Regions from separate parts of the Mus musculus genome. Here all the other regions are reported to be linked to region 6. Evidence: microRNA targets listed by miRTarBase, many of them from high-throughput screens and not tested one by one. Region 6 holds a microRNA gene; each other region holds the end of a gene's coding sequence.

The links. The annotated mature microRNA mmu-miR-9-5p reads UCUUUGGUUAUCUAGCUGUAUGA and lies in region 6 at 1,913-1,935, shown strand. An mRNA with a match to its seed (bases 2 to 7 or 8) in the 3' UTR can be bound and repressed. Matches are read on the target gene's strand: a 7mer-m8 pairs with bases 2 to 8, a 7mer-A1 pairs with bases 2 to 7 and ends in A, and an 8mer does both.
Region 1: miRTarBase lists Atp1b1 as a target of mmu-miR-9-5p. Seed matches in the 3' UTR shown: 7mer-m8 at 1,722-1,728.
Region 2: the mRNA of Ddx17 is a reported target of mmu-miR-9-5p. Seed matches in the 3' UTR shown: 7mer-m8 at 1,716-1,722.
Region 3: miRTarBase lists Ttyh2 as a target of mmu-miR-9-5p. Seed matches in the 3' UTR shown: 7mer-m8 at 626-632 and 7mer-A1 at 1,194-1,200.
Region 4: the mRNA of Slc16a7 is a reported target of mmu-miR-9-5p. Seed matches in the 3' UTR shown: 7mer-A1 at 3,705-3,711, 7mer-A1 at 1,523-1,529 and 7mer-A1 at 331-337.
Region 5: miRTarBase lists Rela as a target of mmu-miR-9-5p. The part of its 3' UTR that is shown has no 7-base or 8-base seed match.
Region 7: miRTarBase lists Creb1 as a target of mmu-miR-9-5p. The part of its 3' UTR that is shown has no 7-base or 8-base seed match.

Annotation. Positions count from the first base shown.
Region 1 is chr1:164,434,975-164,439,032 of GRCm38, reverse strand. Atp1b1 (ATPase, Na+/K+ transporting, beta 1 polypeptide) reads left to right here. Exons shown (of 6, transcript NM_009721.6): 6 at 494-1,934. The coding sequence ends at 757. It overlaps Nme7 (NME/NM23 family member 7), which reads right to left. Exons shown (of 14, transcript NM_138314.4): 14 at 1,733-2,017. The coding sequence ends at 1,985. Among named protein-coding and RNA genes, the nearest start is that of Gm39690, 18 kb to the right of the region's middle.
Region 2 is chr15:79,526,713-79,530,778 of GRCm38, forward strand. Ddx17 (DEAD box helicase 17) reads right to left here. Exons shown (of 13, transcript NM_001040187.1): 13 at 984-3,805. The coding sequence ends at 3,300. Kdelr3 (KDEL (Lys-Asp-Glu-Leu) endoplasmic reticulum protein retention receptor 3) reads left to right here. Exons shown (of 5, transcript NM_134090.2): 5 at 360-1,027. The coding sequence ends at 400. Among named protein-coding and RNA genes, the nearest start is that of Kdelr3, 12 kb to the left of the region's middle.
Region 3 is chr11:114,718,718-114,722,783 of GRCm38, forward strand. Ttyh2 (tweety family member 2) reads left to right here. Exons shown (of 14, transcript NM_053273.2): 14 at 412-2,267. The coding sequence ends at 486. It also overlaps a transcript of Dnaic2 not described here. Among named protein-coding and RNA genes, the nearest start is that of Dnaic2, 6.7 kb to the right of the region's middle.
Region 4 is chr10:125,224,229-125,228,294 of GRCm38, forward strand. It overlaps Slc16a7 (solute carrier family 16 (monocarboxylic acid transporters), member 7), which reads right to left. Exons shown (of 6, transcript NM_001358915.1): 6 at 1-4,061. The coding sequence ends at 3,784. Among named protein-coding and RNA genes, the nearest start is that of Gm46205, 65 kb to the left of the region's middle.
Region 5 is chr19:5,646,984-5,651,049 of GRCm38, forward strand. It overlaps Rela (v-rel reticuloendotheliosis viral oncogene homolog A (avian)), which reads left to right. Exons shown (of 11, transcript NM_009045.5): 11 at 1-1,151. The coding sequence ends at 433. Among named protein-coding and RNA genes, the nearest start is that of Rela, 11 kb to the left of the region's middle.
Region 6 is chr7:79,503,367-79,507,432 of GRCm38, forward strand. Mir9-3 (microRNA 9-3) reads left to right here and starts at 1,898; the gene lies at 1,898-1,987. All of the region lies in intron 1 of Mir9-3hg (Mir9-3 host gene), which reads left to right. Gm51285 (predicted gene, 51285) reads right to left here and starts at 1,970; the gene lies at 1,913-1,970.
Region 7 is chr1:64,596,710-64,600,770 of GRCm38, reverse strand. Creb1 (cAMP responsive element binding protein 1) reads right to left here. Exons shown (of 9, transcript NM_009952.2): 9 at 1-3,537. The coding sequence ends at 3,393. Among named protein-coding and RNA genes, the nearest start is that of Mettl21a, 19 kb to the left of the region's middle.

The DNA.
Region 1 (4,058 bases), not on the chromosome of region 6:
GGTGAGCTAGCCCACGGCATGTGTTAAATTCTGAGGCCAACTTTCTTTTTTCACTCTTAATGAATGCTAAAAATGAGTGCTACAGTACCAAGCCAAGAGATGGATGTAAGAAATAAAGGACACATATGTAAGTCTTCGGAGAGAATGTCGCTGAACACTGTCCAAAAGCCAGGGGTTCCTCTCACTGTTGGCCTTCCTGCGAGGCTGAGCCAGCTTAGAGAATCACTTACTTGGTCTCTGCCTCAGTGTCTCCATTTGCAGAGCCCCCTTTCGTGAATGCTTCTTGGCTGCTTTCGGCCAGAACCGACCTTTATCCTGTGGTGTCACCAATCCACGCCACCCACTGCTTGATAGGCTTAGCTTCTGAGAGGTTTGAGGTAGGCACGCCACTGCAGCCTCTGATGGGGTTGAGAGTCTCGTTCGTTAGAGCAAGACGAGACCCATGATGCGTGTATGCCCTTAAAATTAAATTTCATGTCCTTTTGGTTTCCAGAGAGATGAAGATAAGGATAAAGTCGGGAACATAGAGTACTTTGGGATGGGCGGATACTACGGCTTCCCTCTGCAGTATTATCCCTACTACGGCAAACTCCTGCAGCCCAAGTACCTGCAGCCCCTGCTGGCCGTGCAGTTCACCAACCTCACCGTGGACACTGAAATCCGCGTCGAGTGTAAGGCGTATGGTGAGAACATTGGGTACAGTGAGAAAGACCGTTTTCAGGGACGCTTTGATGTAAAAATTGAAATTAAGAGCTGATCACAAGCACAAATCTTTCCCACTAGCCATTTAATAAGTTAAAAAAAGATACACAAACCTACTAGTCTTGAACAAACTGTCATACGTATGGGACCTACACTTAATCTCTATGCTTTACACTAGCTTCTGCATTTAATAGGTTAGAATGTAAATTTAAAGTGTAGCAATAGCAACAAAATATTTATTCTACTGTAAATGACAAAAGAAAAATAAAAATTGAGCCTTGGGACGTGCCCATTTTTACTGTAAATTAGATTCCGTAACTGACTTGTAGTGAGCAGTGTTCTGGCCCCTAAGTATTGCCGCCTTGTCTATTTTATTTAGTGTACAGTACTATAGGTGCGCACTCTGGTCATTTTTCAAGCCATGTTTTATCATATCTGTTTTCTACTTTACGTGAGCAAGGTTTGCTGTCCAAGGTGTAAATACTCAACGGGAATAAAACTGGCATGGTACTTTTTCCTTTCTTTCTTATTTTCTTGGCTCTGAAATTTCAAAGGTAACGGCCCATCGATGAGCATTTTTAACACACTCCATAGTCTCTTCCTGTGGTATCAGGTCTTTATTATTATTTTTTTTTTTTCTTTATTTCCTGGGGCTGGGGGGTGGGCTGTCATGGGGGAACTGCCCTTTAAATTTTAAGTGACAGTACAGAAAAATCAAGGTGATGGGTTGTGTTGTGCTCCGTGCTGAATGCTGTCTCGCCATCTCTCCCCGTGTCCTCCAGTGTGTTCTGCAGCTGTGTCTGAGACTGGGATCTGCCTGTCACTGTGGCTAGTGATGGGCTGGGTAGTTTGCTTATTCGTCCATTTCCTTTCCTTCTTTCCTTTCTCTGGAGGCATCATGCGCTGGTGCTGCGTCCTTATGAATGTTTTGACCATTTTCATGGTGGAAGAATTTTATATTTATGCAGTTGTACAATTTTATTTTTTTCTGCAAGAAAAAGTGTAATGTATGAAATAAAACCAAAGTCACTTGTTTGAAAATAAAAATCTTTATTTTGAACTTTATAAAAAGCAATGCAGTACCCCATAGACTGGTGTTAAGTGTTGTCTACAGTGCAAATCCATGTTCTAGCATATGTAATAATTGCCAGGAGTACAGTGCTCTTGTTGATCTTGTGTCAGTCAGGTTAACACAACGGACAATAAAAGAATGAACACATTCCTCACGTGTGTGACTCGATTGTCTGGGCGTCTCAGTCTGTGTCGTCTTTACTCTGGAGAGCTAATTATCCAAGATCTTGAAGAAATACTGGACCTGAAAGGCAAGCACAGTCTGTCATTAGCTACAGGCAGGTCTGGGCTCTCCCACCTGCCACCTGCTGAGAGGATGGAGGACCCAAGGGACCTGGATACACACCTTGTCCCCAAGAGATGACCGAGTTAACAAGAGGCAGAAAGGAAGGCTGTGGCTTGTTTTTAGAAGTGTTCTACAGTGCTGTTCCACTCAGTGAACACAGGAAATCTTGACTCCTGTGTCAATACATAGCTCAACAAAGTGTTCGCTGAGTGTGTGTGTGTGTGTGTGTGTGTAAATGTTTCTATTGGTTAAATTAAATTTTAGGTTTGAGACTCAGGGAATTAAATGTGTGCATCTCCCTCTGGTTCAGGATGTACTTTCTTGGCCATATTTAATAAATGGCCTTAGTGTCAGAAAAGATAAAAAAATTACACTTTCTGGTATAATGGACTTGAAGATTTGGTATTGCCAACATGGGGATGTGCAAATGAGAATGATGGTGACATATGGACCTGGAAACCTTGCAGAAGGCCTGGGTAACCACAGCTCAGCTACATTCCCTCCTACCTTCAGGCTACTGAGAATGCAGGTCCACGCCAGCCGACTCTGAAAGACTAGAGCTAGTTTACAAACACTAGTAATAGAGTGAGTTCCCACCTATTGTTCCATAGTAAAAATCCCCATTTTTTCCTCTCCGTATGGCATACCACACCTGTGATCCCAGAACTCCAGAGTCAGTAAGACCTTGTCTCACCGTGCAGCAGCAAATCACGGATGACAGATGAACAGCAAAGGAACTGTCCCTCCACGTGGCAGGAAGGAACAAAAGAGCTTTGTTGAGCAGCCTGGTTGTCGAATTTTACGGGTTTTAGGAATTCTCCTTAATTACCGGGGAACTGGCAAAGTTCATAAATGGTATCCTCAGTATGAAAGTGCTTTTCTCAAAATATCAGCCATACATTAATGGGAACAGGGGTGTCACTCCAGCAAAGAGGACGGTTTATTTTATTGAAAATAAATAGCTCGTTTTGAAATCAGGTCTCACCATGGAACCTTGGCTGTACTGGGGCTTGATAGGTAGGTGCTGGGATTGGGTGTGTGCCACCCGAACTTGATACAGTTCATCTTTCCTTAGGCTGTGAATAAATTATGTTCATAATGATTGAATAAGAAGGGGAGTGGAGTCAGGGATCTCATGAAAAATTTTAAACTGGAGGACAATTTACAGTTTTGAAGCTATTCAAGGGTCATAGTGTTGGTGAGACAAACCTACTGGTTTCACAGACCCTGTGTCCCCAATACTCGAGCTGCTGCACAGGCACACAGCAATTTACCTATTCCTTCCTTCCAGTTTCTCTCCCAATCTTGTTTCCCACAACCTCTCCAGCACTCCCCACCTGGGATGCTCAGCACAGTACCAGCTAGGAGCCTTGTGAATGTCCTTGGCATTCTTTGACTTAACATCCACTTGACTGCCCATTATATACCGACTTTATCAAGCATCCTTTCAGCCAGAACAGGGTCAAGCCTCCAAAGCAGAAGCCCTCTGCAGCAACACGTTAGTATTAAGTGCTCGCTTATTCAAGGCGGTTTTCCTTCCATACACTCATTGTAGATTTTTTGTCATGTCCACATTTGTGTATTCTAACCACTTCTTGGGTGTGTGCAGAGAGAGCCACCACCTACCTCCTATAAATAGCATGATTGTTCTGTTTGTCTAGATCTAGCCAGTCAGACACAAAAAGAAGGGAACGAGGTTTTCAAAGGCAGTGTTAATCAAAGATAGGCCGGCACTGAAATAATAAGGAGAAGGCTCTTTCCATCCGTCAGAGCCCCCGATGTGTTAGCCTGTCCAAATCCCAGGTTAATAATAAATGGAGGCAGGTTTGTTTTTAGTAAGGGTATTATGTAATTAGAATTTAATGATCTTTAACTTCCATTGTATTGATTATCTTCAGCTAAGAACAAGGAAGAGTAGTTTTCCATCTATGGCCTTAAAACACTCATGTAGAGTAGAAAATATATTTAAAGGAAAATGCTACAAATATTTCAAGTAGCA
Region 2 (4,066 bases), not on the chromosome of region 6:
AAACGCAAGGAAACTAAGTTCACACAGAACCCCAGGGATCTAGGTTATGGGGTTTGTTATTGTGTCACCATGCCCAGCAGCCACCATGCAGAGACTAATCAGGGCAGTTTAAAAACAGGGTTGGGATGGATAGACACAGGCTATGGGAATGGAGTAGACATACTCATCTAAAATGATGTAAGAACACCAGTAACCAAAGTGGGGGGAAACAGCATAAACCCCACGGGTGACCCGCAACAAGTAACAAGGGAGGCAAAGGCAGGCGATCTCCAGTTCAAGGCCAGCTAAAGTGGAGGGAGGGGGGCAGGAATTCTTCTTTAAGTACAACACATAGTAAAATTTTATCTTTTTTTCCTTAGTCCTTAAAGGAAAGAAATTAAGCCTCCCGGTGCCAGTTTGAAGAGAAGGGCCACCCCTATGGCAGCTAAAGCAAACCATCCGGATCACTGCTTCATGACTTCAAGCCAAGACTTGGGACTTCATGTTAGAGTGACTGGTGTGAATTTGAGCAAAGCACCATCTTGGGATAAACGGCAGCACCTCCCTAATCCACCATGGATAGAATGGGATACCTAGCCCATCTGCCCAAGGATGGTGCCCTACAAGTGCCAAGTGAAGAGAAGCAGTAGATACCTCCGTGAGTGGCTCAACTCCTTGCTTCCTTAGGACTATACAACTCATGCCCAGGGCTGGGAAGATCCATTCAGAGAACCTCCCTAGGTCAGCGTGCTGAACTCGAGCCACATGTCCACCTGGCCTGCAAGCTGTAAGCAGTCCAAATAACCAGCTCTGCCAAGTGCTTAGGACTGCTTAGCTCACTTGTTAGCTGAGATGGACACCATGGCCACTGTGTAAATCCATTCTGTGCTAAGAACCACCAATGTAGCCTTCCCCTCCCAGCCTGAGGTGCTAAATAGAATGCCTAATACACTCACCCTGCTTAATGTTTTCACTGCTTGGAGGAAAACATTAAGAGTACACTTAAACTCTTTTTAAGTTTTAATGTAATAAAAAATTCACACCTTTATTGTCAAGTATTTATTTATACCTACAAAAGAAAACAAGATGGTATCAAAAGGACAATTTACAAACTAAGAATAGTAGTAACATAGCTCTGAGCATCCTGTGCATAACATCACACCTACAATTCAAGTCTCAATGACAGGAATGTGTGGAGAGACCAGCAAGGGCGTTAGCAGAGCACTGATCCCAAGCAAAAGCCACCAACCTTTTTAGATGAGAAGTCTGCACAATGGATGGTTAGGGAGAAGCAGCCCACAGCCTAACACCTAAGCCCTTTCCCTAAGTGAGTAAACCATAAACGGCAATTAACCCAGCTGGAAGGGTTTGCCTGCACCTGTGCTGACAAAGGACAGACAAGGAGGCACAAGTCACTTGCGCCAAGTAGGAAAACTGCTAGTTTTCTGCTGTACCCAGGCCAAAAGAGCTTATGAAATATGACATCTGCTACTTATCTGGATTATGCCTCTGCTGGAGAGGGGAGGTTAAGCAACCTAGCTACTGCTTCATCCCCGGAGGCAGTAATAGAAGGGGTGTTTTTGAAGAGTGACAGGAGCACAGGACAGCCCATGGTATAATGCTTAATAAAAAATAAATCTGAATTTGGTTGTAGAAAGTATCTGTAACAGGCTGGTCAGCATCAGTGATTAGACACTTGCTTTTGGCAGGGTGAGAGACAGACAAGACAGGACACACTTTGGTTTCAGAGCACAGAGCAGGGTTGCCACACATCTGTGCCTACCATCCCCCCTCAGCTTCATAGTCTGTAAAACGGTAAGGAAAACAGAAGAATGCCAAGCATGCTGACAACCTACCTGTTATGTTACACACTGAATCCTATTTTCTGAGCCCCTCAAAACCATCCCTTTCTCTTCCTGAAAGAAACCTCAAAATTGACTGTTACCGTACAAAGGAGCAGGCACCCTCAGGGCACAGCCAAAGAATGCAGTGGAGCCTCCTCCCTGGAATGAATTTGAGCGGCCCAGGTAACAGCCACACACTAGCCCCACCACTACCATCTACTAGAGGCGCTGGGGCATCTGCTCTCCTGTCCTGTTTAGGTGATAAGAGCAGAATTTTCTTTCCAACTTCATCTGCTGCTCTTCCAAGTTCCAGGAGCATTTAATAAAGGGGTGAGACGAGCTCACCCCTACCTTCACACTCCAGAGAGTAAGGAGAGCCTGGGCTTCAGCCCTCCATGGCTACTACCTACCTGTGAAAAACTGAGGGCAAAGGAAAGCCCAGAACAAGTGCCTCCAGCTGTTAGAAAGCACCTCAGAGACCAGGCTTTGAGGAGGCAAGCTCTTTAGCAGTCCTGCTCAGGAGAGCCTGACCAAGTGGGCAGAGCAGCCCATGAGGTCAATCCTACTCTAAGAATACTGTTTAAGAGGAAGATCCGCCCACTCCCTTGCAGTCCATCATTCCCAAAGGTGCTTTCTAAATGCTGCTCGGAAGGCTCTGCTGAGCGCTGATGCTTACCGCTCAGTGGCTGATCTGGCTAGAAAATGACTTTCAGATGGCCCCTGGTTATGTGGGGATAAAAATCCCAGGCAGCCTCTACCCAGATGCCAGTCTACCTAGTAAAAACAACCCTTTATAGTTTTTTAAACTTAAAAAGACAACGCTTGAACTCAGAAATGTAATTTCTAACTCAACACTAACCTGGTTAATATTTAATAACTGCAGGAACAAGTGGGGAGGGGGCATGATGACAGAATCGATTAGGAATTTTTAACTGTTGAATGCACATAAGAAGCCATCAGCCAAATGACCAACAAAGCAGTCTTAAAAATTCATCAGGCCTGAGTAATCGAACTTCAGTAACTTAAACCCACCATGGGCAGTGTGCATGGAAATCCCTCTTGGCTCCTCCCTAAGGAGAGCAGTCTAAAGAACAGATACCACTTCCTGCAGAGCAGTCCCTCCTTCCCTACCCACCCTCCCATGGATAAACAGGCTCCAACAAAAGTGCCTAATACCTTTAAGATGAAAAATAGCTCAATATCCTCAACATGCATTAAGCTGGGGGAAAGAAATTAATTCTTTCCAGTCAGTTATGTGTATATATATTTTTTCTTACAAAATCTGTAATTATAGACTGGATCTTTTGGGTGGGCAGAAGAAACCTGGCAGTGAAATTTTAACTATCTGCATTAAAAAAAGATAAACCGTAATGGTTGAGAAAAGAAAAAATAAAAATGAAAAGGTCTAGAAGGGTAAAAGACAGTGTTCCTTTAGATGTGTAATTCATCTGCACGAGTCACTCCTGCCATGCAGTTTCATTTGCGAGATGGAGGAGGGGGAGGGGGAGGGGGAGGGTACTGGTAAGCAGTCTGCCCCATGTAGCCTATCATATTGGTAGCTCCTGGAGGCTGTGCAAACTGCTGTGACATCAGTGGCTGTGGCTGCTGCCCAGATCGGCCTATCCCACTAAACTGCTGGCTGGAGCTCTGAGAGCTCCTCCCTGCTGAGGCAGTGCTGCTCGCCCCGTAAGTGCCAGCAGCATACTCCTGCGCCGTGTAGCCACTGGTGCCATAGGCAGCTGCCCCATAGGTGCCTTGAGCATAGGTGTATTGGCCTGCTTGTGCCCCAAAGGCAGAATTTGGGCTTCCATAGCCACTGCCATTAGCATAACTGGCTCTATCGGTTTCACTACGATCCCTGTAGCTTGTAGAATCTCTCCGGCCACCATCCTTGACCCCTCGAAGCCTCCGGTCACACTCGTCCTGATACATCAGATTGGGATTGTTGGCTGAAGAAGTAGTCCGGTATCGTGAGCGGCCTCCTAGTGGGAAGAAAATGCCGAGTATGTGATCCCAACAAACTGAACATAAAGGGGCACAGAAATACTCAACACATGTTCTTCATCTGTAACGCTAGTCTCTAAGTTAATACTTCACTCAACTTGGTGCCTTTTAGAGTCTTCTTGATAACAAAACCAAACTTAACCTGAGTGTACCACACAGCTGTAGATCAACTGTATGCCTCGGTTAATACTATGCTATGAAATGAGGTAAAATTACCAAATTCTCCAAAGGTATCAAGA
Region 3 (4,066 bases), not on the chromosome of region 6:
TGTGCAACGATGTGCTGCTGTTCTTCATGCACACATCCTCCTCTATGTTCAGGATCTCGGTTGGGTTCATTGCCCCTGGGTGTGGTGACAGGAACATACAACCCCAGTTCTCTGAAGGCTGAGACCCAAAGGTCCTTTTGAGTCGGAGTCCAGCCTGGCTACACAGGGAACCCTGGACTACAAAGTAAGACCCTGTCTAAATAGATAACAGAAACAAAAGAAGAAAACACACACACACAAGAACATAATGCAATACAGGCATTTTTTTTTAGTACCTTTGATCCAAAGTTAGTTGAATTTATGGGTGTGGAACCAGCTTACCGAGAGGGGAAAATGGGCTGTGTAATGTCAGGGTGACCAGGTAGCAAACTGTGCCCTCTTGAGACTGTCCCTCCTCCTCTCTCCTCACAGTACTCTCCCAGCATGAGACCCACCTACATGTCCGTGGCGGATGAACACCTGAGACACTACGAGTTCCCGTCCTAGGGGCTTTCAGTGTACCTGCCTCTTCTGCCAGCTCGGTTCTCAGCAGATGCAGAACCCAGCTGTGTTTCTGGAATAGAAACCGAAGGTTCCTGGACACGAACAGGCTCCTGTGGCTGCAGAGACACAGCTGGGACTCCTGACCAAAGCCACAGGTGGACGTGAGGCCTGTGACTGGACCAGCCTCTCCGGCCTTAACTCCCCCAGGACTCAGCTGTTGTCCCTGAGGCAGCTGCCCGCTTCAGCCCACCTTAAGTCCCACCCTCAGCAGATGAAAAATGGTAATTGAGGAGGGGACCACCAGCCTGAGAGCCCTTTTCTCTAAAGGCCCTTCCATTGGGCTCCTGCCTCTTGTTAGCGTGGCCCTAACTAAGTCCAGGCCACACCCTCCAGTTACTTGGTCCTTGGTTTCTAGGCGGTGGCAATTGGAGGTGTGTTAGGAGAACACCTGGTCCAGGATCTACGTTCTGGGACCACAGGGACTCTGCCTAGATGCCAGAAGGACAGCATCAAGAGATCTCCCCAGAGGGGATGGGTGGCTTCAAGCTGGGCACTGCAGCCTGGCAGCCATGGGCACAATTCTCTAACCTCCACCAGCCAACCCCATTCTGGAACCAGGTGTCAGCTGCAGGTGGGGACAGTCTCAGGTATGAACAGACACTTTGAAAGCACCTGAACAGGTTCCCAGTGTTTTAAAACAGGTTGATGATCCAAAGACTCACGCCTCCCGCAGGCACGGCCAATACTTGCAATAGACTCAGGCTCGGTTGGGTTTTATACCCGATGTTCTACTGTGGCTCTCACACAAGCCATCTTACAGATCTGGAGGAGAGGCCAAGGAGTGAGCTGTGGGGTTTTTGGGGTTTTGTTTTGCTGCGGTCTCCTTATATACCCTGACTGGCCCTGGCCTAGAACTCATAGAGATCTGCCTGCCTCTGTCTGCAGAGTACTGGGCTCAAAGGCGTGTGCTACCACACCACACCAGGCCAGGAGCAGATTTGCTTTGATTTTTTTTTTTTTTTTTTTTTTTTTGAGACAGGGTTTCTCTGTGTAGCCCTAGCTTGTCCTTGAACTCATTCTATAGACCAGACTAACCTCAAATTCAGAGATCACCTGCCTCTGCCTTGAGAGTGCCAGGATTAAAGGGTGCGCCATGATGCCACATCCTGGTCTTTTGGCTTTTTTTTTTTTTTTTTAATAAGATATCAGTGAGACATTCTACCCCACACGGCTAGAGAAGGACATCTGGAGCCTTGTAAAGGGAAAGACATGATAGCTAAGAAGGCCGAGGGACTTCATTCTGAGGAACAGCCACTTCTGGCCAGGAGAAAATAATAACCCCTGTCCTGCCTGCCAAGGGACAGGTTAGGGGTCTTTGGTGCTTCCAACCTCTGACCAACCCAGAGTACACTACACACCGAAGCCCCGTGGCCTTGTGCAGCCAAGCGAGGCCCTACTGATGGTGCGGGACAGGGATGTGTCCATTTCAGAAGAGCCACATTGTCATTGTACTGGCAGCTCCCAGCCAAGCCACCGGCGTCACTGTGTCTCATATTAACCTGTGCATACTGTGAGCGACCTTTGTATGCCTGTGTCCTGTGCAGACTCGGAGCTTTGACCTCAGGCCTTGCTCCTGATGTCTCCTCTGCAGCAGCTGAAGGACTTTTTAATGCATGTACATTAAACTAAAACTCCTCCGGGTTCTACAAGAGTCGGGTGGGCAAACCTCTTCTTGATCCATGTTCGCCCTCCCCCAGAAATAAACCACTTCCCTTAAGATGTGCAGCTGAGTCACTTAACTTGGTAACCTCTGAGGACTAGCCACTGTGCATGTCCCCTCCGCGGAGGTCTCGTGGGGGGTGGGGGAAGGGGGCGCGGGAGGGGGATTCCAAGAGGCTCCTCCAAAAGCTGTGTTGGATTTCAGTGAGAAATGAGCAAGGGGTTATGAGGCAGATGGCAAGGTAGCTCAGCAGGTGAGTACTTGCTCTTCCAGAGGACCTAAGTTCCGTTCCGAGCTCTCATAGCAAGCTTCATAATCACCTGCAGCTCCATCATGGGGGGGGGGGGATTGCCCTTCTGACCTTCAAGGACAACCACATGTGCATGATATACACACAGAGAGACCGAGAGAGAAACTAAAAAGCAAATCTTGGGGCTGTAGAGATGGCTCAGTAGTCTAGAGCACTACTGCTTTTGCTGAGGACCTGGGTTCGATTCCCAGCCCTTGCGTGGTGGCTCACAAGCATCTGGCATTTCAGTTCCACGATTCTGATGCCCTCTTCTGGCCACCATGTATGATGCACACACACAAAGGAAAACGTACACTCACAGATCTCATTATGTGGCCTTGGCTGACCTCCCAAGTTGTAGACCAGGCTAGCCTAGGGCTCATTGAGATCTGCCTGCCTCTATATTCCAAGCACTGGGACTAAAAGCCACCATGCTGAGCATAATTTTTTTTTTTGAGACATGGTTTCTCTGTATAGCCCTGGCTGTCCTGGAACTCACTCTGTAGACCAGGTTGGCCTTGAACTCAAATCTGCCTGCCTCTGCCTCCCGAGTGCTGGGATTAAAGGCGTGCACCACCACGTCCAGCATAAAATATCTCTTTAACTGTTTTTGCTTTATTTGAGACAGACATCCCCAACTGTCTTAGAACTTTCTCTATAGACTAGGCTAATAACCTTTGCCTTCTTTTAAAGATTTATTTATTATATGTAAGTACACCGTAGCTGTCTTCAGATGCACCAGAAGAGGGCATCAGATCCCATTACAGGTGATTGTGAGCCACCGTGTGGTTGCTGGGATTTGAACTCAGGACCTTCGGAAGATCAGTCAGTGCTCTTACTCGCTGAGCCATCTCTCCAGCCTAACCTTTGCCTTCTTAATGCTGAGACTAAAGGTGTGTACTATCACACCTGGCTATGAATCTTTTTTTTTTTTTAAAGAGGGAGCTATTGGGCTGGAAAGATACTCATTTACATAAAATCTTTTTTTTTTTTTTAAAGAGGAAGCTCTGAATGAAAGTCTCAGGCTACAGGTACCTGCAGCTTTTACCTATTTTGTTTTTTGTTTATTGGTGGTGATGGCATGTGTGTGTGTGTGTGTGTGTGTGTGTGTGTGTGTGTGTGTGTTATATGCACATAGGCCAGAGGACAAAGGACATTGGCTCTTCAGCTCTACCAACCCCTCCACCTTATTCCCCTGAGATGAGGCTGCAACCAGCAACCCCCAGAAACAATCCTGTCTCCCCCACTGAAGAGCTGATGCTACAGGCGTGGGCCTGTCACACTCAGCTTTTTATGTCGTGCTGGGCATTTGAACTCAGCTCCCATGCTTCTGCGGCCAAAGCTCTGATCTGTGGAGCCGCCCCTCACCACTGCCGGGAGCTCCTCTCACAGAACCCGAGCTGGACCCCATTTCTACTCTGGACTTTCCCCAAAGTTCCCTCTGAAGGTCATTCATTGCTCATCACGCTGCTAAGAAGTAAGTAGCCTTGATTAAGTGTTCACAGGAGCCAGCAATCCTGCCTGATATGGGTATTAATTTTGTATTAACCCTCAGAAGAAATCGATAAGGCCAT
Region 4 (4,066 bases), not on the chromosome of region 6:
ACTTTTAACATCAATTTCCTGAGCCTGCACGCATAGTCTTTCCTCTCTCCTCCTCCTCTCTCTCTCTCTGTGTGTGTGTGTGTGTGAGAGAGAGAGAGAGAGAGAGAGAGAGAGAGAGAGAGAGAGAGAGAGATTCTCTTGCATCAAGTTAATTACTTCTAGTATGGCTTTGTTTTAAATATTAAAAGTCATTACGTAGGCAAAATGCATGCCACAGACCTCTTAGCCCCTACTCTAATTTGCATTCTCCCAGTAAATTGAGCCAAACTTTTGGCTATTTTATTTTATTAAAGGTTAGAAATTATGTATGAGTTTTTCTTTATAAAACATTCTTTGGATAAATGTAATTTCAACTACTTAGAACATCTACCATTACATTTCTAATTTTTCGTATTGTCAGGTTGTAGGGATAGAGGCAGCGAGTTGAGAGGCTACGTCTTTACAGCATACTTTTGAATTTACCAAATTGAACTGTTTTACTTATTTCCTGCTGTCTGGGTGGAGCATGTGACCCTGTGAGGGAAGATGGTTGGAACAGAACAGAAAGGGGAAGTCTGTGAGCCATGTGAATTTACACTAAAAACATCATATCTTTACTGTTACTATCTAGCCCATTGCCTCTTCAAAAAGAAGCTGAAATGACTAGGCCAAGACAAGTTCATACCCATTTATCTGTCTATGGGTGATAATAGTTAAATAGCAAAAAATATGGGATGTTTAACAACAAATGACAAAATATGTAAGCTAGCTACTGATTGTAACTTGTGAGTACTCTAGTTCCTTTAACTTTGAAGTGATCAGTAGGACATAGTGGGCATTTTAATGGTACCAAGCTAGTTTCTTATCTTAAACATCTAAAATCTGTTGTTCCTTGGTGGCAGGGAGGTATTCAGTATTAAAGTTGCAAACCAGGTTTGGTTTTTTTTTCCCCTCTACTTGGGTAATTAGGGACACACACGTTAGGTCAGTAGTCTTTCCTCGGTCTTTGAAAGGCTTCATTAAAGCAGCAAATATTTCAACAGGTGCAGTGGACAAATACAAGCAAACAAATGGATTCTTTTCTATTATGGTTTTGTTGCTGATTCGAGTGAGACACGGCTTAACCTAGGACCTATTCATTACAGATGTACACACTTATCATGTCATGTTTGTAGCATGACTCTACACAACAGATTGTGTGCTTTACAATCTTTCCACCCTCTTAAAAAATATCAATGCAATGACCAAGACAAATTAAGCAAATCAAGATGACTGAAAAGCAAGGAGAGGAGTACATTTTGGTTTTGATTTGATGCATCAGCATGTGACATCACTTCCCAGGGAGAAAGGCAGGCGCTGGAGTCTACTGACAGCATCTCCTCACACTGGTGGTGGTCCACAGGGACTTCGACTACAGTTCCCAAGCTTACTGCCTTTCTGCCTCTCTCCTCCTGTTGTCTGATAGCTATATTAGTTTCTAAAGGTATTTTCAAAGAGTGCAAGAAATTCTTATCAGAAGCATTTATGGTTGACTAGGATGACTTCTTTGGACACACAGGAGTGAACACGAAGGTAGGAATCATATAAAGAAGGTAATTCAGAAGCCGGGCGTGGTGGCATCGCATGCCTTTAGTCCCAGCATTCTGGAGGCAAAGGCAGGCAGATTTCTGAGTTTGAGGCCAGCCTAGTCTACAAAGTGAGTTCCAGGACAGCCAGGACTATAAAAAAAAAAAAGACTGGGTGGGGCTAACTTTTCTTTAAATTCATATCGAGCCACATATTGCCCTGCTTAATTTCTCTACAATATTGGCACATCTTGTTTTTATTGAATAGCTGAAAATTAGAAACTTCATATTCAAGAAAGCAATTGAAAATTGAAAAATTGAAAAATGAAGAAAATCCAAATCTTACTTTGCTCCCTAAATATGAACCTATAAAATCACCTGTATGAAGTAGTGTATAATTGTTATGGGCAAATCAAAACTTTAACAATACCCTGAAAATGTGGTGTCTAAATAGATCCTAAGAAATAAGAATAGCACCCACTTCTATTGAAAGGAAAGGAGAAGGAGGGAAGAGGAGGAGGAGGAGGAGAAGAAGAAGAAGGAAAAGAAGAAGGAGGAGGAGGAGGAGAGGAAGAAGAAGAAAAAGAAGAAGAAGAAGAAGAAGAAGAAGAAGAAGAAGAGACATTGTAAAAGTGACTTCAATAATAAAGCACAAAATTCTCCCTATTTATCAGAAAATAAAACAAGACATGAGACATATAATATTTAGTTTTAGCTGTTATGTACACAATAGGAGGTCACAGACCTCTCAAAGAGTGTTGTAAGAATGAGATTGATTTCTAGACACTTTAGGTTTGGAAAATGAGCAAACTCCTAAAGTACCCTGAACAACAATTCTCTGCCATGTTGCTACTGTGTTATAAACTACATGTCTGTCAGTCCCCACAGCTTATGTTGCCAGAAGTGTCCTGGGGACACACTCCAGCTTTTCTGTTCTATTCTCAGTCGTGGGTAGTCCAATCAGTAGAGGGCGGAATTTTCAAGTGTTTCCCCTCCTTGTATAACAAGAGATGTCTTCTGGGATGGAATTCAAGGTCTGGGTTTGGTTTTTGCTTTTGCTTATTGTAGTAAAGAATTATAAATTATAAGTCCCTGTTAGCAGGGCTCAGGAATGACCCCTGGTCTTGTCAGTTCCACACCTATGAATTACTCATGAGATCAAGCTTATGTCACTACTTTGTGCTGGAGGGAAAAACAGAATCTAGTCTACTTGAATATGTCAGCTCTTCTCATTTATTTGGCTTGGATAGTTCAGCACCCCATTAAATCTGCATTAAGCCCCCATTTTAAAAAGTCATCGAAAGATGTACATCATTGCTTAGCAGGCTTCTAAAGCATGGATTCATCCGATTTTTCAGTGTCTCTGCATTTTAAATCAAGTTATGTGTTAGATATGAATTCTGGAAATTAATGGAGGGGTTCTATTGTCTAGCACCCAGCCCTAATTGTGACCTCTCAAAGAAACTGTGTAGACAGGTGTGCAGATTAAACTGGCACAAGTATGGCAGATTGATGGTGAAAAACTAGTTCTGTTTTGTTTTTAACCAAACTTATCCATGTAGATTTTTTTCCCTTTAGCCTTCTTTGAGCTAATAACACTGATTTTTTTTCCACCGTACAGTTAATTTTAATCCACACTGCAAAACTGTACGCAAATATAACATATTCCTGCTTCCCAGAGTTTTCCTTTGACTTAAGAATGACTATGATAATAATTTTTTCAAATCCATTTATTTCTTTATGATCTCCCGATACTCAGTGTTTTCGTAGATACATGTGTAATTCTTTGTGTGTTGAAAAGAAAAAAATGATTGTCCTCAATTCACTTCATGACTTAATATCAAATGAAAAAAAAATGAACCTTCAAGAGAGTCATTTTGTGAAATTAATGTTGAATTGTGCTTAGGTGAGCCAAGGTCTGGAATGCAGATCTAATTCTGCAGCTAAAAGTAAAAATCGGTGGAAGATTTAAAAAATTAGTTGTTTTCATCACAACTCAGGTGCGCAGATGAGCAAGTGCGTGGGTTTTCTACGTGCACCATCTCAAGAGTTGACCATCCCAACAAATGTTAAAGCATGAATTTATACTATGGCATTGAGGAAGATGCCAGTTTTGTTACTGTTTGCGATGTTTTTGTTGCAGCTAAAATCCTTTGCAATTCTTTGGAAAAAAACACACACACACACACAAAGAAACTCATGATTAAATTCATGAACACTGATTCGGCGATGAGACTTGTTAAATATTACTCTCTTTGTCCCTGTCTGAGGGAGGATTGTGTGCGTTTGAAGCTTTGACAGTAACTTCGTCCTGTTTAGATCTGTTCAGGGCCTCCATTTCTCTGGACGCGTGTGAAGCTGACTTCTTCTTCTTTGCCTTCTCTCTCTTCCTTTCCTTGTCGAGAAGTCTATAGTTTATAGCATTGCCAATCAGGAGGTAAGTACCTGATACTAACACGACTGTTCCGCTGGCTATGTACAGGTATTTATATTCTCCAGTTATATCAAGCAATTTACCTGTG
Region 5 (4,066 bases), not on the chromosome of region 6:
TCCTGCCCCAGTTCTAACCCCGGGTCCTCCCCAGTCCCTGTCTGCACCTGTTCCAAAGAGCACCCAGGCTGGGGAAGGCACGCTGTCGGAAGCCCTGCTGCACCTGCAGTTTGATGCTGATGAAGACTTGGGGGCCTTGCTTGGCAACAGCACAGACCCAGGAGTGTTCACAGACCTGGCATCTGTGGACAACTCAGAGTTTCAGCAGCTCCTGAACCAGGGTGTGTCCATGTCTCACTCCACAGCTGAGCCCATGCTGATGGAGTACCCTGAAGCTATAACTCGCCTGGTGACAGGGTCCCAGAGGCCCCCTGACCCAGCTCCCACACCCCTGGGGACCTCGGGGCTTCCCAATGGTCTCTCAGGAGATGAAGACTTCTCCTCCATTGCGGACATGGACTTCTCTGCTCTTTTGAGTCAGATCAGCTCCTAAGGTGCTGACAGCGACCCTGCTCAGAGCACCAGGTTTCAGGGCACTGAAGCCTTCCCGAAGTGCGTACACATTCTGGGGAGTGTGCTCCAGCTGCCCCCGACTTGTTTGGGTGATCTCTCTGGGGCGGCACGTTTTACTCTTTATCTCGCTTTCGGAGGTGCTTTCGCAGGAGCATTAACCTCCTGGAGACGGAGCTGGGAGGACTCGGTGCATCCCTGTGTTGATAGCTCCTGCTTCGGTAGGGAACTCTGAGATCCTGCTTCCATCTCCAGCTTCTAGCACTCTCCTAGAGAGGGACAGACTGGAGCCATGGCCTTAGGCCATATAGCCTTACTATCAAGTGTCTTCCTCCACGCGGATTCCTGTACACCTTGATCCAAAGCAGTGCTCCCAAGAGCAGCTCCTACGTGGTGCTGCCCGACACCAGCACATGAGGGGCCGCTCTTCTGTCCTGTGGAGCTCCTGCCCTGCCAGCTCTCCATGCTGAGCTGTGGCCAAGGGGAACAGGTGGGATGTTGCTGGCCGCCTTCAGAATCGGGGGGAGTTTAGTCTGAGACATCCCTGCTCCCCCTTTTTTCAAGTGCCTTAATAGCAGGGCAAACTGTAGAGTCAGGAGGGCAGGCTAGATGCTCAGCCACAAGACAGCCTTTACTGAAAAAGCTATTGGACTCTTGCTCTTTCTAGCTCTGAACTAATAAATGTCTTATCACGCTGGCCAGAGAGTAGCTGTCTTTCAGCAAACACTGAGCACACTGTGTTGCCCACTTCAGGTTGTCTGATGGTGAAAGAATTGACTGTGTACCGTCATCCAGGGGTCTGGGACTGGAGGATGCCTCCTGCAAACTCTTGATTCCTATTGGCAAATGTTACAGCAACTAGGACAGGGCTTCCACTACAAAAGGTTCAATAGGAGTGGGGTTCCTTCACATAACGTAGATCCCTCTTGCTCCAGGAGTTAGGTCAGCAGAGACATGGAACAGCCTGGTGGGGAGGTGATGGTGGGACCATCCTGGAAGTGATGAAGAACTCTGCACAGCAGTTGCCAGGTTTTTCCATTAGCTCAGGCTGAAACAAAACAGCCATTTTGCATCCCTAGTGATCAAGGTCATCTTGAGCTTACTGGATTTGAGACCGGCCTGGTGCCACACTGTCTTAAAACAGCTGTTCACATCCCCGCTCCCAAAAAGCCTGCTGTGCTGGTACATGCCTTTGCTCCCAGCCCTCCAGAGGCAAAGGCAGGAAGGGTGAGTTAAAGGCCAGCAAGGTCTACTCCGGGAGACCTTGTCTCAGAAAACAATACAAAAACCGGTCTGCCCTAGGACTTTTGATATTCTGTACCAGGAGGATACCTAGAACCTTTGCCCAGCCTTGGAGACCTAAACAAAGGCCAGGCGTAGCTCTTGTGCTAAAGCTGGACATACTTCCGGTTTTGTCTTGCACAAGCCTAGCAGCTAAAGGGGGCAGTCTTCTCGGGTGCGCATGCGCCCGCCCTGCGCGCACTCAGCACGGGGAGGCGCAGCTAAGCGGTGGGGAAACCCCTATGCTGAGAGATCTGTAAGTGTATAGTGAGCGAGCTGCAATAGTTCCAGACCCTTGGGAATAGGCTCTTGTGCAGAGCCTGATAGATTGTCCCTGCAGGAGAAGATGCGGTCGAGCTGCAAATGTTGGGGAAATGGAAGAAAGTCTCCTAACACAAACACTAGGTGCACATGCTTAGAGGGCGGGCGCAGAGGCGGGCCTGAAGCGAGGGTGTATAAAACCTAAGGACCCAGCTAAACTCAGCTCCAGATGGGGCGGAGCCCATCTGACCTTGGCTGTTTTGGAATCAGATCCAGGCGACCTTGCCCTGGAGCCGGGGCTGGGAGCCGGGACCCCTTTGAATGATAAGGCTTGAAGCTGAAGGCATCCTGTAGTGGTGCAGTTCAGATTCTCAGCCTCAGTTTAGGCAGTGTCTTGTTCTTGGCTTTCTGGCCTGCAGTGGCCTCTGGTGACCCCCGGAAGCCTTCTTTTAGTCCTTCCCACACTCCCTGAATGACCTCACCATGTTAATGGTTCATCCATCCTAAATCTTTGTCTTTAGCCCAGACTTCTGTCCCCTGGGCGCTAGCCATTGGACAGTTCTACTCTGATGTCTCCCAAACTCACCCTGTTCCAAGTGACCACAGTCAACCCAGGCTGTTCCTCCTCCTTCCTCTCGGTCTCAGCTGTTACCCTCCAGTGGCTCCAGCCGGAAACATCGTCACCACTGTGGATACTACCTCTTCTCCCTTACCAGCAATGTGCAACCAGTCTTTCACAAGGTCCTCCCTCCAGGACGGCTGCTACAGCTTCCTTCGGCACTAGTCTGCCTATTTGCAACCAAAAAGCTGACACCTAGACCTTCCTTACCACTCTCTCTTTAAACATCTGTCAACCACAGAGTCAGATCCCAAGGGCCTGAAGACACCTGCCCAGTGACCCGGGCCTTCCCTCCCACCTTCCTCACTGCCCCGTGAGGCTGCTCACCACCGCCCCTATGATGATTAGGCTTCGCTGTCAACTCGAATCCTTGTGAGGGGTTCCAAAGTGGTTTAACCAATGGAAGATTATGAGTGGCATCATTCCTTAGAGCCCCATAGTGAGTAAAAAAGAGAGAGAGAGAGAGAGAGAGAGAGAGAGAGAGTGCGAGCTGGGTGTAGTGGCGCACGCCTTTAATCCCAGCACTTGGGAGGCAGAGGCAGGAGGATTTCGAGGCCAGCCTGGTCTACAGAGTGAGTTCCAGGGCAGCCAGGGCTGCACAGGAGAAACCCTGTCTTGAAAAAACAAACAAGAAAGAGAGAGAGAGAGAGAGAGAGAGAGAGGGAGAGAGAGAGAGAGAGAGAGAGAGAGAAAAGAGAGAGACTGAAAATAACTAAGCCCCAGCAAGGATTTTTCTGCTCCCAGACTGGATACAATGTATCTGCTCCCACCAGCAGGTACCGGATCCCCTGAACCAGAGCCAAAATTCTTACGTGAGTTTTGTTTGTTTTGTTGGTCTGTATTTTATCCCAGTAATAAGAAAATATGTTCAACCAGGAAAAGCTAGGCCACATGGAGGAACCACTGCTCCGGGATCCCTAGTGGATCCCTAGTGGACCTTGCATGACCCTTTCTGACCCAGCTTAAGGCTCTGTAACCCTGATTCCTTCGAGTACCTCAAATTCGGCCCAGTGGCTCCTAGAGTGTTTCTCCTGGAATACCTGTGACATCTGCTGGTGAACTCAACTTTCAAAACTCAGTCCTTTTATTAGCCTCCTCAGAGAAGGCTTCCTTGTGCTCATGGCCCCACTGTTACTCAGCCATGTTTATCCTGTCCTCTCTCAGGGTCTGGGCTTCAGCAGAGGCAGCCCTGGGGAGAGGCTGATGAGGCACTGGCTGGGGCCTGCAACAGGTGATCCATCCAGTGGTAGTCAATGATGCTCTGAAGCTCAGCTTAGCAGGGCCTATTTGGGAATTCCATACTGCATGGCCAGAGCCCACCCCTGGTTGTCCTGCTCTGCAGGCTCGAAGTGTTCCCTCTCCTGCTCCAAACAGACAGGCATGAAGCGTGGCCACCTGCTTTCCAAGAGAACCCAATAAATGAAGGGGAGCCAAGGGGTGTTCTATCCTCAGAGC
Region 6 (4,066 bases):
TCGGTAGGTCGGCCCCTCTGTTTCTCTGATGCTTTTCAGTCTAGCCTGTGTCCTTTTTCTGAGACAAGGATTTGTCTGTGAGGTGGCATTTGGAAAGAGGTGTGTAACTGCTAGCTGGCTTGCTCACTGGCTGACAGGGATGGCAGTGGGGATGCAGCCCACCTTGGATTTGGGGTCAAGATAAAAAATAGGACGAATCTAAAACAAGCACGGGGTACAGAGGTGTGGTGCCAAAGCCTGGTATTAAACAAAAAAAATCCAGATGTGTCATTTAAGGGAGACTGCTTTAGATACCTTTAGAAAAATTCCCTGATCCCTTCCAAATCACCCACTTTGGGCCTATTCTTTGAACCCAGCCTTATGGGATTTGCTGATGGAGAGTGTGTAAGGGGTGCCCCCCCCCCCGCCTCACCAAAACAGATCTGAATGAGTACCCCCACCAAATCTGGGCTGCTTTGGGGATGCCTTAGCACAGAGAGTCTTTGGGACTCCCTCATAGTCACTGCTGGAATCCTGGAACCCGCTACCCCCCACCCCCACTCTATTGTTAAGTCAATCTCTAGATCTTGGATTTAAGATCTTTCTAGGGATGACTGGGGGGGGGGGAAGGAGATATCGAATTTTTCATATTTAATCCTTTGCCTCCCAGGAATGGGTGAAGGGGGTGAATCAGGGCTCATAGTGGGAGGGGTGTACAGGAGCAAGGAAGACAGGATGGGTTTCAGGTGAGCAACCTCTAAACCACCACGTTTAGGAGACTGAGACGGGACTTCAGTTTGGTGGCCAGGCTCAATTCTACTGTGAAACCTCAAAATGTCAATTCTTTTGCCCTGTAAAGTCACTTGGAGTAAGTGGGCTAGGGTGTGCTGTGAGCAGAAAGATGGCAGGAGCTGATTATTTTTATGGGAGGTGAATAGGAGCCCAATTACGGCCTTGGATATCTTTAAGGCGCAGGGGCACAATTGATTACATATCCTTGGCTGTACTAGGAATGGTCAGAGGGAAAGGGCTAACAATCTGGTGCCGACATTTAGGACCTGGTTTGAGCGAAGCATGCCATGGGAATCCCTACAAGTCAGGCAATATATATGGGATACATTGATCTAGACACCCACTCCTTCCCTTAATCCCCAGTCTCTACCGCGGTGTCTGTACAGTGCTGGGCAAGAAAAAAAAGGAAGAGAGACCTTAAGGATAAAGTGACCGGTTCGCAGCCTCTCCTGCGCTCACTTGGTTGCCTTGGAGAGACCTCGACCTTAAACCTCTTCCCTCAAACTCTAACTCTGGTGGTCTGCGGTGGCTGCCAGGCACCTAAGACGTTGCTGGGAGGTCAGAGAGGTTTGAGAGAAAGGCCAGACTGTGTGCATCCAAGCAAGCAGGCCTAAGGCTTCTGAGGGCAGAAGAGGCGCTCCCCTGTCCTCGCGGCGCAGAAGCCGTGAACGCCGAGGCCATTGTAAGGCTGGGTGGTGCCGAGCGCGGGAAGGGGGCTGGGATTTGAATGGAAGCCCGTGATAGGCCGATCCCCCGACTGACGTCACTTCCCCGCGGGGCGATTAGCCTGCGAGAGGAGGGCTGATGGTCCAGTGCGCTGGGGGCCGCCAGGGCGCCCGAGGCTGCCCAAGCGCAGAGCGCCGGTTACCCGAGTGCGCCCCGGGACGGCGTCGAAGCGGGCCGCGCACGCACTGGACGGGGAACTGGGGATGGAGAAATCGCGAGGGCGAGGGAGGAAGGGAGCTGGGCGATCCGGGTGGCGGGAGTCCGTGTGTCTGTGTGTCTGTCGGTCCCCTCTGGCTCTCCGCGTGCGCCCGGGGCTGCGGGAGCGGAGTCCGCTCAGGCCCCCGCGCCGGGTCGGCGGCGGCACGTGGGGCCCACAGCGCGGCAGCGGTGCCGGCGAATGGGAGGCCCGTTTCTCTCTTTGGTTATCTAGCTGTATGAGTGCCACAGAGCCGTCATAAAGCTAGATAACCGAAAGTAGAAATGACTCTCACAACTTCTGCGTGCGATGGCCCGGCCGGCCGCCCTGGCCACAGGAGCCAGAGGAGCCCAGAGAAGCCCACGCCACCCAGGGATTCCAGCTCGACGGAGCGGCCACGCCGGGACCAGGTATCCGACCTCGGCTCTCCTGGGGACACTTGCCGTGTCCTGGAGGCATTCCCTTCACCTCCTCCTCGGTCCCTGCACCCCCATCACCATTTCCCAGCGCCGAGGCTGGAACCCCGAAGTGGAGTGGGTTGGGGGCAGGGAACGGGCTGGGGTTGCAGAGGGGTCGCTGGCGGGGAAGGCGCCAGCCTTTGCCTTCACCCCATAAATCAGGCTAGAACAATCCACGCCCTGAGCTGCAGACTAGGATTTTGGGATGCAAATGCGATGAGAAAGAGAACGGAGAGAGGAAGGGAGAGAGGAAGGGAGAGAGAGAGGAAGGGGGAGAGAGAGAGAGAGAGAGAGAGAGAGAGAGAGAGAGAGAGAGAGAGAGAGAGAGGAGAGAGAGAGAGAGACCGGTAGGCAGTGTGTAGGGGGAGTAAAAGGGTGGGCAGGGGGCTGCCCTGCCGCTAACAATGCAGCCTTTATCGAATTATTCGACGAGTCAGCCCCTGAGCACCATTAGCATACGGCTGGGGGGTTGCTGGAGCTTCGCCCCTCGGTGAGGTCAAGTTCTTGATAATTTGATCACTTTTCACCGGCTCTGGCAGCTGCCTTTGTGTGCAGTTGGGGGGTCTGTGTGCAGCGTGAAGCGGAGCAGAACTGGCGGGGAGTGTACTCAATGGCAAGGGGCCTAGGCGGGGGGCCTCCCGCCCCGACCGACCGGCCCTGCCCTGCATACAAACCAAGAGCAGGCTGCTGGGCGGGAGAGACGTAGCCCAGATCCTCTAAACCTCTATAGTTCTGGTCGGACGGCTGGGGCCGGAGCCTCCCCAACTTCCCCAACTGGTTAAGGGGGAAGCCAGGCTCTCTGGAGCTCCTCTCCTTCCCGCCCCAATAAATGGCAACATAAGATGTATTACAATGTCTAGCAAATAAAAAAGCAATTGGGGGAAAAAATCTGAATTCCGTTCCCATGGCAACCCAATGCTGCACACCGGCCACTCAAGCTCCAGGTCCCTCTTAGCTGGGCGCTGCGAGTGGGGCGTGCCAATGTTCTGTGTCCGTGGTTCTTAGCCCCACAAGGAGCGGAAGGTCCCTTTGAGGTTTCTCTGCCTTCAGGTCCCTCTCCTTCCTGCCACTCCCTTTACTCTTTCCTTATCTTGAAGTTTGGGGCCCCCTGCAACTTAGGAAACCATTAGGGCTCCCGCGTGGTGGATGTAGACCCAGCTATGGACCCTATCAAGTGTAGGGAAGAAAGGATCCAAAGTCAGTTCACATACCTTAAGGCTTGGGGTCTTTTGGGGTTCTTTAAGGCACATATCAGTGTATACATGCTTTAGCAGATTGACTGGGAAGGATTAGTGCTACCATCCTGACTTGACCCGCTTTCTTTTCCTTGAACATATTAAGGAAGCAGATCTGGGGGGTGAGGGCCTACTCCTTAGGGAGTAGCACACACAGCGCAGAAGTGCAGAGGTGGGCACTACCTAGGTCACCTTACCTCCATCTTGGCCCAGTTCAATCCCAAGAGCCTCTTGCCTTAGTTATTTATAAGATTGGTCTCTCAGCCTCTATCCAGAACCTGCCCAGCCCCCTTGTGATAATAGAAATCTTTTTCCATCTTTGTGCCTACCAGCCGTTCCTCCCCCCCCCCCACACCCTTTGCTTAGCAAAATTATCTTAACAACAAAAAGGTGACTTGTGTAAAAGTAAAAATAAATTCAGTGATACAAAGGAGAACCTCCTGGGTCTGGGGAGGGGCAAGGTGTGGCTTCCATACGGTAGATGGAGAGTTTTTCACTGCATTGCCTTGGAATGTTAGACAAAATTAAACGCGGTGGCAGGAAAGCAGCTGTCTCTGTGCCTCCTTCTCAGGGACTCATTGGGTGGAAGGAAGGGGTTCGAGGTCCTTTCATCTTTTCCTTCCCGTTTCTTAGGCCTGTGAAGGGTCACTCGCGTGTTTGAGGACCCAGGAGCCTCCCTC
Region 7 (4,061 bases), not on the chromosome of region 6:
ACAGGAAAGGCAACATTTTGACTGAAGTCACTTCAAGTACGTAAAAGCATTCCGGGTTATATAAATGTTTGTTTCTAAGCCCCAATATTTGTATGATTCCATGTCACCCTAAATGGTCGAAAATAGTAGGGAGGAGTCCTGAGAGGCAGAGACCGGCTTCAGCCAAGAGGGCTTCTGGCTGGACAGCCTGCCTGACTGGTTTGTGCTTTAGACAGTAGCACTGCTTGCTGGCCTACCATCAAAACACATCTTGACAAAAATCCCTGTTCAAATGAAACATGAAAAGTCTTTGCCCAAAATGATTCTTGAAACAATTCTCTTAAAACCTTTTTTCAAAATGTTCTTACCAATTTTATAGCTGCCAGAAACAAAGCAGGGGGAAAAGAGCTTGGGGTTTAGGAGTTTTTAAGTGACTGGTAACATACTCAAAAGCATCAAGCCAAACAAAACAAAAACCTAATAAAAAACTGGAAGAAAAGAGAAAACCCAGTTGTGAGTGCTGGAGTAAAACAGTCACTGAAACACCAGAAGAGATGCAGGAGAAAGCACAGCAAAGTGGAATCTCACCGGACCTCAATACGCTATAATACTCAGCATTCCTGACATACCAGCTCTCAGAGCATTTAGATGATATACTGTATGTATGTATATATGTACACATATATTACAAAATGCCACGTCCCCACCCACACTATACCATCTAAACAAGCACAGCACCTAGGACAATATGATGGTTGCTAATATGGTACTTGCTTTTGATAAAGAACTTAAATTGTATCTCATATCAATTTTTTAAATATGAACATATTGGATCTAGCCCTTTCTAAACCATTTTTCAGTTAAACACTATCAAAGCTTGAAAACTCAGAAGAGTAATATATCAAAAATAAACCTATCCCCATTTCATTTTTATTAGAGTTAATCTGCCCTATAGATAAAAGTGCCACTATATATATGCAAAGTGAGCAGTACCAAACTTCTATTCTCTAGGCAAATCAGTAGCATATGTACAGATTCCTATGACAGTTCCATTCCCTTTTGGCCAACATGAAGAGAAAACATTACCGATAATGTGGCCACATACAATTTTGGATATAAGAGTTTTTAAAAAATTATGTCATTTTCTTAATAAAGATTCTCCACATAGCTCAAAAACAAGTTTTTGTTTTTGTTTTTCTCATTCTCATGTTAAAAAAAAAATCCAGCTTGCATTAAAGAGGCTTTGATTTCTTTCTGTATGAACTGAAATTTCAAAGTCAGGTTTCACAACACCATATATTTCTCACATTATCAAGTAACTGGTGTCAAACTAGTACAGTCATGCTCCAAGCATAAAGACCCAGGCCTCTGTAAATTAATATCCATCCAACTAGGAAGTATGGCTGAGACTGCCTTGGTCTCTAAAGGGTTAAGGAGACCACCTGTTTCCTCATTATGTAGAAAACCTCGACTTTTGAAGATAGACACTTAGAGATTACAACTTCTGCACGCTAGGCAAATTTTCCACTTGTGACATTTAAAATGTTCAATCTGACATTCTGACTTAATGTGAAGTAATTCCAGTTTGTTGACAGATTTGTGATTCTGCTTCCTTTTTGTTTCACCACGTTTAGCAAATGATACATCTACTTGCTAGCACAGACAGCTTTTATGCTATCTCCTTCCCAGCAAGCTCAGCAGGACAAAGATCAAACTTTAGCCGTTTGAAAGCCTTCTGGAGAATCTGGTGAACTGTCCAGACAGAAGGATTATTACATCACTCAACTCCTAGAATCATGTCCTTCACAAACTGTTCATCCTTGAAAAAAGACAATGGTTTGTTATAAACAACGTAGAACATTTACAGATAGCAACCTAGTCTTAGCTTAGAAATGGGCCAAACAGTTCCCGCTCATACGTATACTGATATTAATATTAACTTTCTTAATATCCCAAAGCAAATATAAGACACTCTTCTGAGTCTGAGTTCTTCCTCAAACGTGAAGTAACCTAACATGCCAGCCTCCACTGTCCTCATATTTGTCTTTTAAAGAGGTAACTCTTAGATTTTATTAGGTTTAATAAAAAAAAAATGAGTTATTACTAAGTCTTATCAGAAACAATGTTACACATAAATGTAGACTATAGGTAAGGATGTAAGTAGAAACATCTTCAGAAACAGAACAGCTTTTGGATAGTTAAAGCAGTACCACCTTTTTTAGGAGAAAAAAAAAAGTGTTTGCCAAATATTGTACCATAGCACACACTCCAATGTCTGAAGGAAATTACTTTTCTTGTGTGCATTTAACACAATGTTTTAGAATCACATCCTTGTAACTTCTTTGATTTAAAAAAAAAAATCCCAAGAGATTCTCTGATAAAAATATGACTATAGAAAAGGTTGTCTATTTAGTACTTTCCATCACTTTGGCTGGACATCTTGAAAACGCTCCTGTTGGCTGCACAGTGTAAATGCAGCAGTGGACTAGGTAAATGAGTGACAGTATGAGGATTCGGAAAGCAAGGACAAAAGTCTTTATTTATTAAACACCTTATTGTATAACTCAAGGAGTTAGCTTCCTGGCCAGCACCTACTCATTAAGACTTAGTACTCACCAGAATAAGCTTTATAGTATGATTTTAACTTAACTCAAAATTCAAAACCATGCTTTCCATTCAGTTGGTTACTTCTGTTAATGTATTCAAACTGCTGAACACACAGAACTGAATGAAGAAGCAACAACTGCCCTACAGAGGAACTGTAGCCAATACCGTGCTTCTCAGCACCAAGGACAACTTGTCAGTGCTGAAGAAAGGAACATACATATAAAGTTTACTCCCAACACCACACTAATATCCTTATTTAAAGGATGTTTTTAATAGTTCGACATAATTCACAATGAAAGTGTAAAAACATTAATTTGGCAGTCAACACTTCTTCATTGCACCTTCCTTACTTTCCTGTGTGGCCCACACATTACGTCAGCTCAGCAGGCTGGGTAACTGTCCCTAAGGCAATCATGGAGCTCAACAAACCTTGAAGTCATTAATAAGAAAACAAACAAAACAAACCTAAAACAAAAATAAGAAAGCCAAGATTTCATTTTCCTCATTTCCCCCAACAATTTACAAATAAGCAAATGATTACTTCTTGAGGGTGGTGGAGACGGAGGGCAGAAGTCTCTTCATGATTCCTGGCGCTGCACATTTCTTGAGGGCAGAAGTGGAAGTAGTTTTTGGAACATTCACAGTTTAATGCAAAAGCAGAAATGAATGAAATTCTGTAGTTGCTTTCAGGCAGTTTTGCGCATAGAAAAAAAGAAATGTTTAGAAAATAAATGTTTACTTGTCTTTCTGGTTGTGGCCAAGCCAGTCCATTCTCCACCGTAACAGGAGAGAACTTAAATCCCAAATTAATCTGATTTGTGGCAGTAAAGGTCCTTAAGTGCTTTTAGCTCCTCAATCAATGTTTTGTTTTGGTTTTCAAGCACTGCCACTCTGTTCTCTAAACATTTCACATATTCTTTCTTCTTTCTACGACATTCTCTTGCTGCCTCCCTAAAAATGAAAAACACAAAAAAATTTATGTTCATAAACTCCATTCCACTAATTTTAGAACAGAATGTTTTCTAGAGAAACAGCTGAAATAAGCAAACGTTCAGTATTATACAAGAAATGCTCAGGAAATGATACTGGCATTGCCTGATGCGGCAGCACACTGGTAATGCCCCTTGCTGCTAAGCTGGACAATCTGAGCGCAGCCCCTGAACCCCACATGGCTGATGGTGAGAACCTACTGCTTCTTCTTTACTTATCTGCTCCCATGCATGTGTACACGCACTAGGTAAAAAATGTATCTTTTCCAACTACCTAAAAATAGCTCAGTAGGTAAAGTACCAACGCACAAGCAGTGGACTGGATTCAGATGCTTAGCACCCTGATAAAAGCCCACAACGGGCTCAGACAGAAGGCAGAAAGCTCCATGGAATGAACTGGCCATAAAGCCTACCTCAATCCTTGAGCTCCAGATTTAATGAAAGACTTTCAAAAATGGAAGTTGGTGGGAAGGATGGAGGCTAAGT